2 linked regions of the Rattus norvegicus genome follow. The main gene of each other region encodes a partner of the protein of the gene in region 2 in a complex. Links are inferred from orthologs where the notes say so. Each region holds a gene or a part of one and is shown on either strand. Other genes may lie near its edges. The genes, in order: Ap1s1 and Ap1m1.

Region 1 (4,282 bases), on a different chromosome or scaffold from region 2:
CACCACCTCTTGCTCCTCCTGCCTCAGCCTCTGCAGAGCTGGGATTAGAGGTATGCCTCACCACACCCAGTTCTCAAAACCCACCCTCCATTTTGGTTTTGGCTTCTTGTTTGCTTGACAGAGCCTCACTGTGTAGTCTAGGCTGGCTGTGGCCTTCTGGCTATGGGTTTACACCACACCCCTTCAATACCTTAAGATTCTCCTCATTCCGTCCCCTTTCTCCTTAATTTACAATTTCCTCCTGCTCTTTATAGTGTCCCCCTTTTCAGCAATTTTTTTTTATCCCTGGTTTCTACATATTTTGTTTGCTTTAAGACAATGCAGCATCTCCAAGTTCTTAATGAATACTTAAGTGTTGTACTGTCTTAGTTTCTTTAAGGTTACATTTAGAAGTATATTTTGCATTGTCTGTGACCATGTGGGGATGTATGCAGGACCAGGGCACTTGCTTGTGCAGATATCAGAGGACAATTTGCAGGAGTCAGTTCATTCTTTCCACCTAGTGGGTTGGGGGGAAACATCTTTACTATCCGAGCCATCATATCTGCACTGTTTGGTGTCACTTTTTTTGTTGCAGACAGGTTCTCTTGTGGCCGTGGGCGGTCTCGACCATGCTATGTAGTTGAGGCTGAACTTGAACTGCTGTTGCTCCTGTCTCTGCCTTCCAAGTGTAGACATCACGTATGTGCTCCTGCCGTGTTTGTTTTGGAGACAGGATCTTGCTCTGGAACTCTGAGCTGTTCTTGAACTCTTTATTCTCCTGGCCTCCCGTCCTGTATTTCCCTCATCCTGCCCACCACCACCCTTTCTTTGACTGATGTTTCCCACACCATTCCTCCCAACTTCTTCGTAAACTCTAAAGATCCTTCATCCACCTCTCACCCTTTTCCCGCCTTTTTCCCCCCCACAAATGCTCCAAAGCTCGAGGCCCTCATTGTCCTCCACTCCCCTTCCCATCCTCCAATCAACCCACCAAGGCAGCCTTGTTACCATGACGACCGGGCTTTTGCAAAGCTGAAGTCAAGGACCTGGTTACCATGGTTTCCGCTTCTCCGCCTCCAGCCCCGCCCGCGCGCCGTATGAGATTGGGGGGGGTGTGCTGCAGCGTTGGCGCCTGCGCAGTGAGACCACGCCTGGAGCCGGCGCGGTCTAGGGGCGGGGCTTCAGGCGGAGAGGGAGGGAAAAGAAAAGAATCCGACTGGGAGTGGAGCTGGCTTCTACGGTGGCCGGAGAGGGACGCACCGGGCCGGAGGCTGCAGGATGGTAGGCTTTGAGGAGAGGGAGGGGACGGGGACCCGAGGGGCGTGGGCTGTACCTGCGAGGGTCCGGAGGGGGGCTGCCCTTTGTGGGAGTCGCCCTGTCTTCTCTGTGGTCCGCTAAGGATCCACTTCCCAGAGCTGCTAGGGAGAGCTGACCTCGGAAGCTGGAAATGGCACTAGGACAGGGGCGGGGAGGAGTCTTGGTTGGGAGAGAGGGGACTAGGGCTGAATGGTGGCGGGACTGTCCGGAGCCTGGAGAAGCGCTCGGGATTCTGGGTTCGGTCCTAGAGATCCTCCCAATCACCGCCGCAGGGAAGACACGAGGTTGGGGCTCCGGGGTCACTCGGGATGGTTGCAGGTTGCCGAATCCCCTTCCCATGAGGCCCACACTGGAGCAGGGCCCATGGAGAGCTCAGTGTGGGAGGGGACAGTTTCCGGGTCTCTGGAGTGAACCTCCTGTCTCGGTTCCTTGACAGAACTCGCTCGGAGTTCTAGCTCAAGTGGGCTCCAGGGTTTGCAGTCAGGGAAGACTCCCTGACTTTGGCAATCCCAGCTCTCCACCCTCTCCGGTGCATTTTCTTTTCCGGAACCCAGGCCTTCCGTCTTCCTGCTGTAGTTGTCACCTCCTTTTCTTAGCTGCACACGGCTCCCTCAGTTCTTCACCTTCCTTATCCCCCACCAACAACACTCCCTAGTTTCTGGGGTTTGTTTCTTTTAACTTAACCTGCTAAACTGGAAGTGTGGCACACACACAGATATCCCAACCCCGGCCATGTTCTCAGAGCTGTTTGCAGGGAATTGAGTTCAGGATATGGAATCCGGAACCTCTGCAACTGGGAAAAACAAAGAAAACAAAAACAACAACAACAAAAAAAAAACAAAAAACAAAAACTAGGTCCATGCGCGAAGCAATGAGGACTCTGCCTGCTATTTATTCCACAGACATTCCCTAGGAGAGCCCTCCTGGGTGACTGGGCCCTGTCTGAGGGACTGAGCAACCAGTCACCTGATGTCTGGGAAGAAAGGTCAGGCCTTATAGTGCACACCTGTAACCTGGCACTCAGGAGCTAGAACCAGGGGGATCAGAAAACCAAGGGTAGCCTTGGCTATCTGGTAATTGAGGTCAGCCTGTGCTACGTGAAACATTGTCTCCAAACAGAAACAGAGAAAAGAGGGCCAGAGAGATGGCTAGGTAGCTGATAACCTGAGGTCATTCTCAGGAACCCACTGGTGGGAGAAGTGAACTGACCTCCACATGTGGGTGGTGGAACCTGGGTGCCCCACATATATATGTAAAATAATATAAAATAACACTTTAAAAAACTGGGAAGAAAGAAAGCCAGTACTTGGAGCTAAATGTGTGGACAGCAAAGGAAAATGGAGGGCAAGATCTGAATATCCCTGTGCCTCGTGCAATCCAATGTATGTACAATTTACAGAGAAGAATGTCAACAAGCATGGGACTGGCACAAGAGGCCATATTGAGTCAGGAACATCTGAAGGCTTATTGCAGGATGGAGTAGCCACCCAACATCTGTGAGACATGGGGTCTAGAAGAACATACATAGAACTGCTGTCTGTTGACATCAGCTCATCAGGAGGCCAGGCATTTTCCCCATGGAAAACAAGGTTAGGAAACAGAAGTTCAGGGGAAAATAGCAGCGCCTAGCATGTTGCAGGTCCTACTGTGTGCCAGGCACCCTCATAAATGAACTCATTTAAGAATTCCTTAAGGGAAGAAGGGTGGAGAGAGAGATGGTTCAGCAATTAAGCACACTTACTGCTCTTCCAGAAGACCAAGGTTCAGTTTCCAGCACCCATGTCAGACAGCTCACAATTTTCTGTAACTCTGGACCCAGCAGATCTGACACCTCTGGTCTCTGTGGGCACTTGCACTCATGTGCACTAACCCGCTATGTAGACACATGCACACTCACACAGAGTTAGAAATAATAAAAAATGGGCTGGAGAGATGGCTCAGTCCTTAAGAGTATGTGTTGCTCTCACAAAGGACCCTCCCATCACCCACCATGGCGGCTCATAACCGTCTATAACTCCGTTTCTGGGGGATTCGACAGGTACGCGTGTGGTGCACATACACATGTGCACATAAATATCATACACATACCACAAATCTTTAATAACAATAAGTCCTAGAAGACCTCTATAAAAAAGTGTCATTTCCATCTTGTGGATAAGCAAACCGAGGTTCAAAGGCTGCTTGATACTACTGAAGGGCAGTCAGACAGCTCAGTGGGTAAAGGCACCTTCTGCCAAGCCTGAGTGTCAGAGTTTGATCCCTGGAGCTCACACAGTAGACACAGACAACCAGCTCCCCAAAGCCGTCCTCTTACCTATACACACACACAAGTAAGTGTGATAAAAATGCTTTTACGTTTATTTTATCATGTGTGTGGGTTTGTGCTCGCACAGCATGAATGTGGAGAGAAGACAGCTTGTGGGAGTTGGTTCTCTCCTGTAATGTGGGTCACAGGTATTGAGCTCAGGCCACCGGGCTTGGAACCAAGCACCTTAACTGATTTAGCCATCTTGCTGGCCCAGTGTAAAGTAGTTTGCCTGAGGCTGTACTCAAGCTAGTAGAGCCAGTATTTGAACCCAAATCACAGGCATAAAAATCTTTGACTTCCCCCCCAGGTACGACACTCCTTGTAGGGATAGCACCCAGTATTGACAGCTAGGACAGGAGTTTTGAAGGAGTTATCGATGTACAGCCTGGAGTCTGGGGCTGTGTTTGTGTAAGAAAACAGGCTCCACCCCCCTTCTCTGCCCCTCAGCACCGGTCCTTCTTCCCTTGCAGATGCGATTCATGCTACTGTTCAGCCGGCAGGGAAAACTTCGGCTACAAAAATGGTACCTGGCCACCTCAGACAAGGAGAGGAAGAAAATGGTCCGAGAGCTCATGCAGGTCGTTCTGGCTCGAAAGCCCAAAATGTGCAGCTTCCTGGAGTGGAGGGACCTCAAAGTTGTCTATAAGAGGTGACACTCCGTCCGTTTCTTTTTAG
Region 2 (3,811 bases):
ACTGCAGCACTGCCACATGGCCAACCAGCCATGCTGACAGCAGGCAGCGTGACAAGACAGGCACTGTCACCAAGTAACCAGGACCTCCTCAACCCTCACCCACAGCTTCCTCATGGCCCCTTCCTGCAGCCATTTCCTCAGGGTAATTCCAAGGAGCAATTCCTGTTTGGTTCCTTTCACTATGCACAGTGACTCTGAGGGTAGAGCCTACCTGGGCGTCCTCATGTCCTGCAGCTCAGAGTCCCATGTCCTGCGTTCACATTCTTATCTGCCCTCAGCTGACCACGAATGGTTTTGTGTTTTTTTTTTGTTTTTTTTTTTTTTTTTTTACTAAGTGTGTGGGGAGGCGAGAGGGATACGGGTATGTGCGAACGTGTGCAGGCGTCCCTGGAGGCCAGAAGTAAACATCAGATCCCCTACAGCTAGAGTTACGAGCACTTGTGAGCTACCCAATGTGGAAGCTGGGAACTGAACCTGGGTCCTCTGAAAGAATAGCAGTGCATGGGGTTGGGGATTTAGCTCAGTGGTAGAGCATTTGCCTAGCAAGCCAAGGCCCTGGGTTCGGTCCCCAGCTCTGGAAAAAAAAGAATAGCAGTGCACTTAAGTAACGAGCCATTTCCCAACTCCTGGGATTTATTTATTTGCTTATTTGGTTTTATATACATACATAGTGTGTATCTGTATATGTATGCATATATGTGTGTGTGTGTGTGTGTGTGTGTATGCACATACACACACATAATTTTTATTTTATGGTTGTTAGTATTTGACTGCATGTGTGAGGGTGTCAGAAGCCCTGGAACTGGAGTCGTGGATAGGCGTGCACTTCTATGTGATTCTGGGGATTCTGCAAGAGCAGCCAGTGTTCTTCATTGCTAAGCCATCTCTCCACCTCCTGTTTGTTTTTTGAGACAGGTTTCTCTGTGTAGCCCTGGCTGTCCTGGAACTTGATCTGTAGACCAGGCTGGCCTCAAACTCAGGGATCCACCAGCCTCTGCCTCCTGGGTGCTGCGATTAAAGGCCTGCACTGTCATTCCCAGCAAACCTAGGATTTTTTAAAAAGACAGGGTCTCACTGTGTTCAGTCTGAAACTTACTATGTAAACTTCCTTACCTCTGCTTCCAAGTGCTAGGATTAGAGGTGTCATACCATGCTTGACAAAGTATTTTTAGCAGGGAAACAGTTTGCTATATAAGTGTGAAGAACTGAGTACAGATTCCTAGGACCCACATAATACCAGGAGGGTATGGCAGCCCGTGATCCCAGGAGCCTGCTGGCTAGCTAGATCATCTGAGGTGGCAGCACAAAGAGAGAGGGGTCGGGGAGAGGGAAAGGTGTTGCATTTGAACTGGGTTTGGTATCTCATGCCTATAACCTAACCACTCTGGAGGCAGAAGGACTGCCGTGAGTTTGAGGCTAGCCTGGGCTACATAGTGAAATCATCACGACAAAGCAAAAGCCTCAGGAATGTTTTTTGTCAGAGCAGGCTGTCCTTAGATACCACAGCACTGTATTGGAGGGCCCTCAGATTCTGGAATCCTGGGGTCCTGGAACAGCCAGATTCTCCATACATCTGTTGCAAGACAAGTCCTTTTGTCTCTGGTGTGGCTCTATTTAAGATTCAGCCACTGGGGTGTTCATTTATGTGGACTGGCTCATACCTGTCATCCCAGCACTCAGGAGGTAGCAGCAGGAGAAACAGGAATTCAAGGCTATCCTTGGCTACATAGTGGATTTGAGATGTGCCGAGGCTCCTTGAACCCACTCCCGGCTTCATTCTCCGTTGAGTGCCCATGGACACACAGCTTCTCTGATTCTCTAGGATGAGCCACTGGGTCATACTTAACTCTGGTGTCACTTTCTGAGGAGCCACCAACTTTGGCTATTTCACAGGATGATGGACAGTGGTTCAGACACCATGCAAGGAGGAAGACCAGGGCAGGGCTATTCCTGTACAGGCTTCAGTGGGATCCCATGAACTTGGACTCCTCTGGGATCAGGTGCTCAGGAGAGCCAAGTGTGCCAGCACAGCAAAGACACTGAGAGGGTCTGCATGGAGTGCTCATAGGGCAAGGCTTGGCCCAGTGTCTGAGGGGATCAGTCCCTCCTTTCTCCACCTTCTGCTGAAGGAAGAGCCTTGTGGTGGGACTTCATAGGGTGAAAATCAGACTAGCCTCAAGTTGTGTCCCTTCACAGATGGTCCCCACCCCTACCTCAGACCCTCAGAGGAAGCCACCCCTTCTTTCCTTCCTAATGCAGGTGCTCATCTGCAGGAACTACCGTGGGGATGTGGACATGTCAGAGGTGGAGCACTTCATGCCCATTCTGATGGAGAAGGAGGAGGAGGGCATGCTGTCACCTATCTTGGCCCATGGTGGCGTTCGTTTCATGTGGATTAAGCACAACAACCTGTACCGTATCCCTATGCTGTGGAGTCAGGCCTTGGGGATGACACGCCTGCCCACCAGCACAGAAGAGCTGGGCAGCCAGAGGACACAGGCCTCACACAGAGGACACAGGGAATGCTAAGTATTCCAGAAGCTGCAGCTGTGGGAGGAGGGGAGAGACACAGGGCAAGAGTGGGAGCCAACTGGGCCTGAAGTTGTCCTCTGGAGATGTGTCATGTTAAATGGGGTAGGTCTTTGGATGGGGTGGACTGGCTATAGGTGGCCTTGTGGTCTAGAGATTTCTGGCTGCTGTGTATGGCCACACTGTCAGGAGCAGGAGTGGACAAATGAGGGGAACAGGGTAGGAGTAGGGGTGGGAAGATCTCATGTGCCCTACATCCTCAGCCCTGCTTCAGCCTCAAATCAAGTGTGATGCCAGGTGGAGACCCACCGTGGCTGCACCCACCACTTTGGGCTTTGAGCAGACCTCTGGAGATCTGGCTGTGCAGGAGCTCTTCAGCTGCCAGTCCCCTCGTCAGTAAATGTGTGCATGCGTGTAACCCCTACAGGCACAGATGCCACCTCTTCCCAGGGACATGGTCTTCCCTTGCAGTTCCTGCCCTGCTCTCCCTCCCAGGCATAGGGTTTTTTCCCTGATGTATATTAGCATTTGTGAACTCCCTTGTAGAGTGGGCCTAAAGTCCAATAGAAAGGTGTTGGTGTCACCCATGATATCTGTGCCAGTAGTGCACATGTGGTGTTTGAGCACACTGGGTCCATAGCTGAGCAGGAGTGTTGATAACTGTTCATCAACAGCCCTCACAGCCCTTTCTGGCACTAGGAAAGCCAACCAGCAGGGTGGGAGTTTCCATTTGGTTCCAACTTAATTTCCCCATGTTCTGCAGTCCAAGTGCAGTGTCTTCAACAATAGGCTCTTACCATCCGGTTCTGCTGTACAACAGCAGCAGCGGCCTGCATGGCTCATGGAGCTTCAGGGTGTCCTGCAGCACCTCCCAGGAGATAGTCTGCCCATGGCACAGGGACTTCACCCAATAACCTGATGACCTCCGCGAGTGTCCTTCTCCATCCATGTAGGGTACCAGTTGGATTTAAACTCTTTACCTGTTTAAACAACATTTTGTTTTTTACTTTTTAAAGGCATCATTTGTAGACATATTTTACCTGCATGTTTGCAGGCCAGAAGAAGGCATTGGATCCCCTGGAACTAGAGTTAAAGCCAGTGATGAGCCACCATGTGGGTGCTGGGGATTGAACTTGGGTCTTCTGGAAGAGCAACCTATGCTCTTTACCACTGAGCCATCTCTGTAGCCCTCCACTTTTCCTTTCAATTATTCAAGCCTCAGCTGGGCTGTAAGGTAGGTAGAAGTGCCATTACACCTGGTCGTCTTCATGTTAGTGAAGTG

What was found.
Region 1: the proteins of Ap1m1 (region 2) and Ap1s1 are in contact, whole or in part, in a crystal structure (PDB 1W63), measured with the Mus musculus proteins. The link is inferred for Rattus norvegicus from reciprocal best matches to the Homo sapiens genes AP1M1 and AP1S1. Residues at the interface, in NP_031482.1 of Mus musculus: Lys12, Glu31, Asn186, Asn188, Val189, Leu190, Glu232, Glu234, Asn270, His272, Arg421; in NP_031483.1 of Mus musculus: Lys26, Lys30, Arg33, Glu34, Gln37, Lys43, Glu51, Trp52, Arg53, Asp54.

Annotation. Positions count from the first base shown.
Region 1 is NC_086030.1:25,260,852-25,265,133, forward strand, and holds the start of Ap1s1 (adaptor-related protein complex 1, sigma 1 subunit), read left to right. Parts: upstream 1-1,184; 5' UTR 1,185-1,260; coding exon 1,261-1,263; intron 1,264-4,077; coding exon 4,078-4,256; intron 4,257-4,282. UniProt on the Homo sapiens protein: Subunit of clathrin-associated adaptor protein complex 1 that plays a role in protein sorting in the late-Golgi/trans-Golgi network (TGN) and/or endosomes.
Region 2 is NC_086034.1:17,629,820-17,633,630, reverse strand, and holds part of Ap1m1 (AP-1 complex subunit mu-1), read left to right. Parts: intron 1-2,259; coding exon 2,260-2,416; intron 2,417-3,811. UniProt on the Homo sapiens protein: Subunit of clathrin-associated adaptor protein complex 1 that plays a role in protein sorting in the trans-Golgi network (TGN) and endosomes.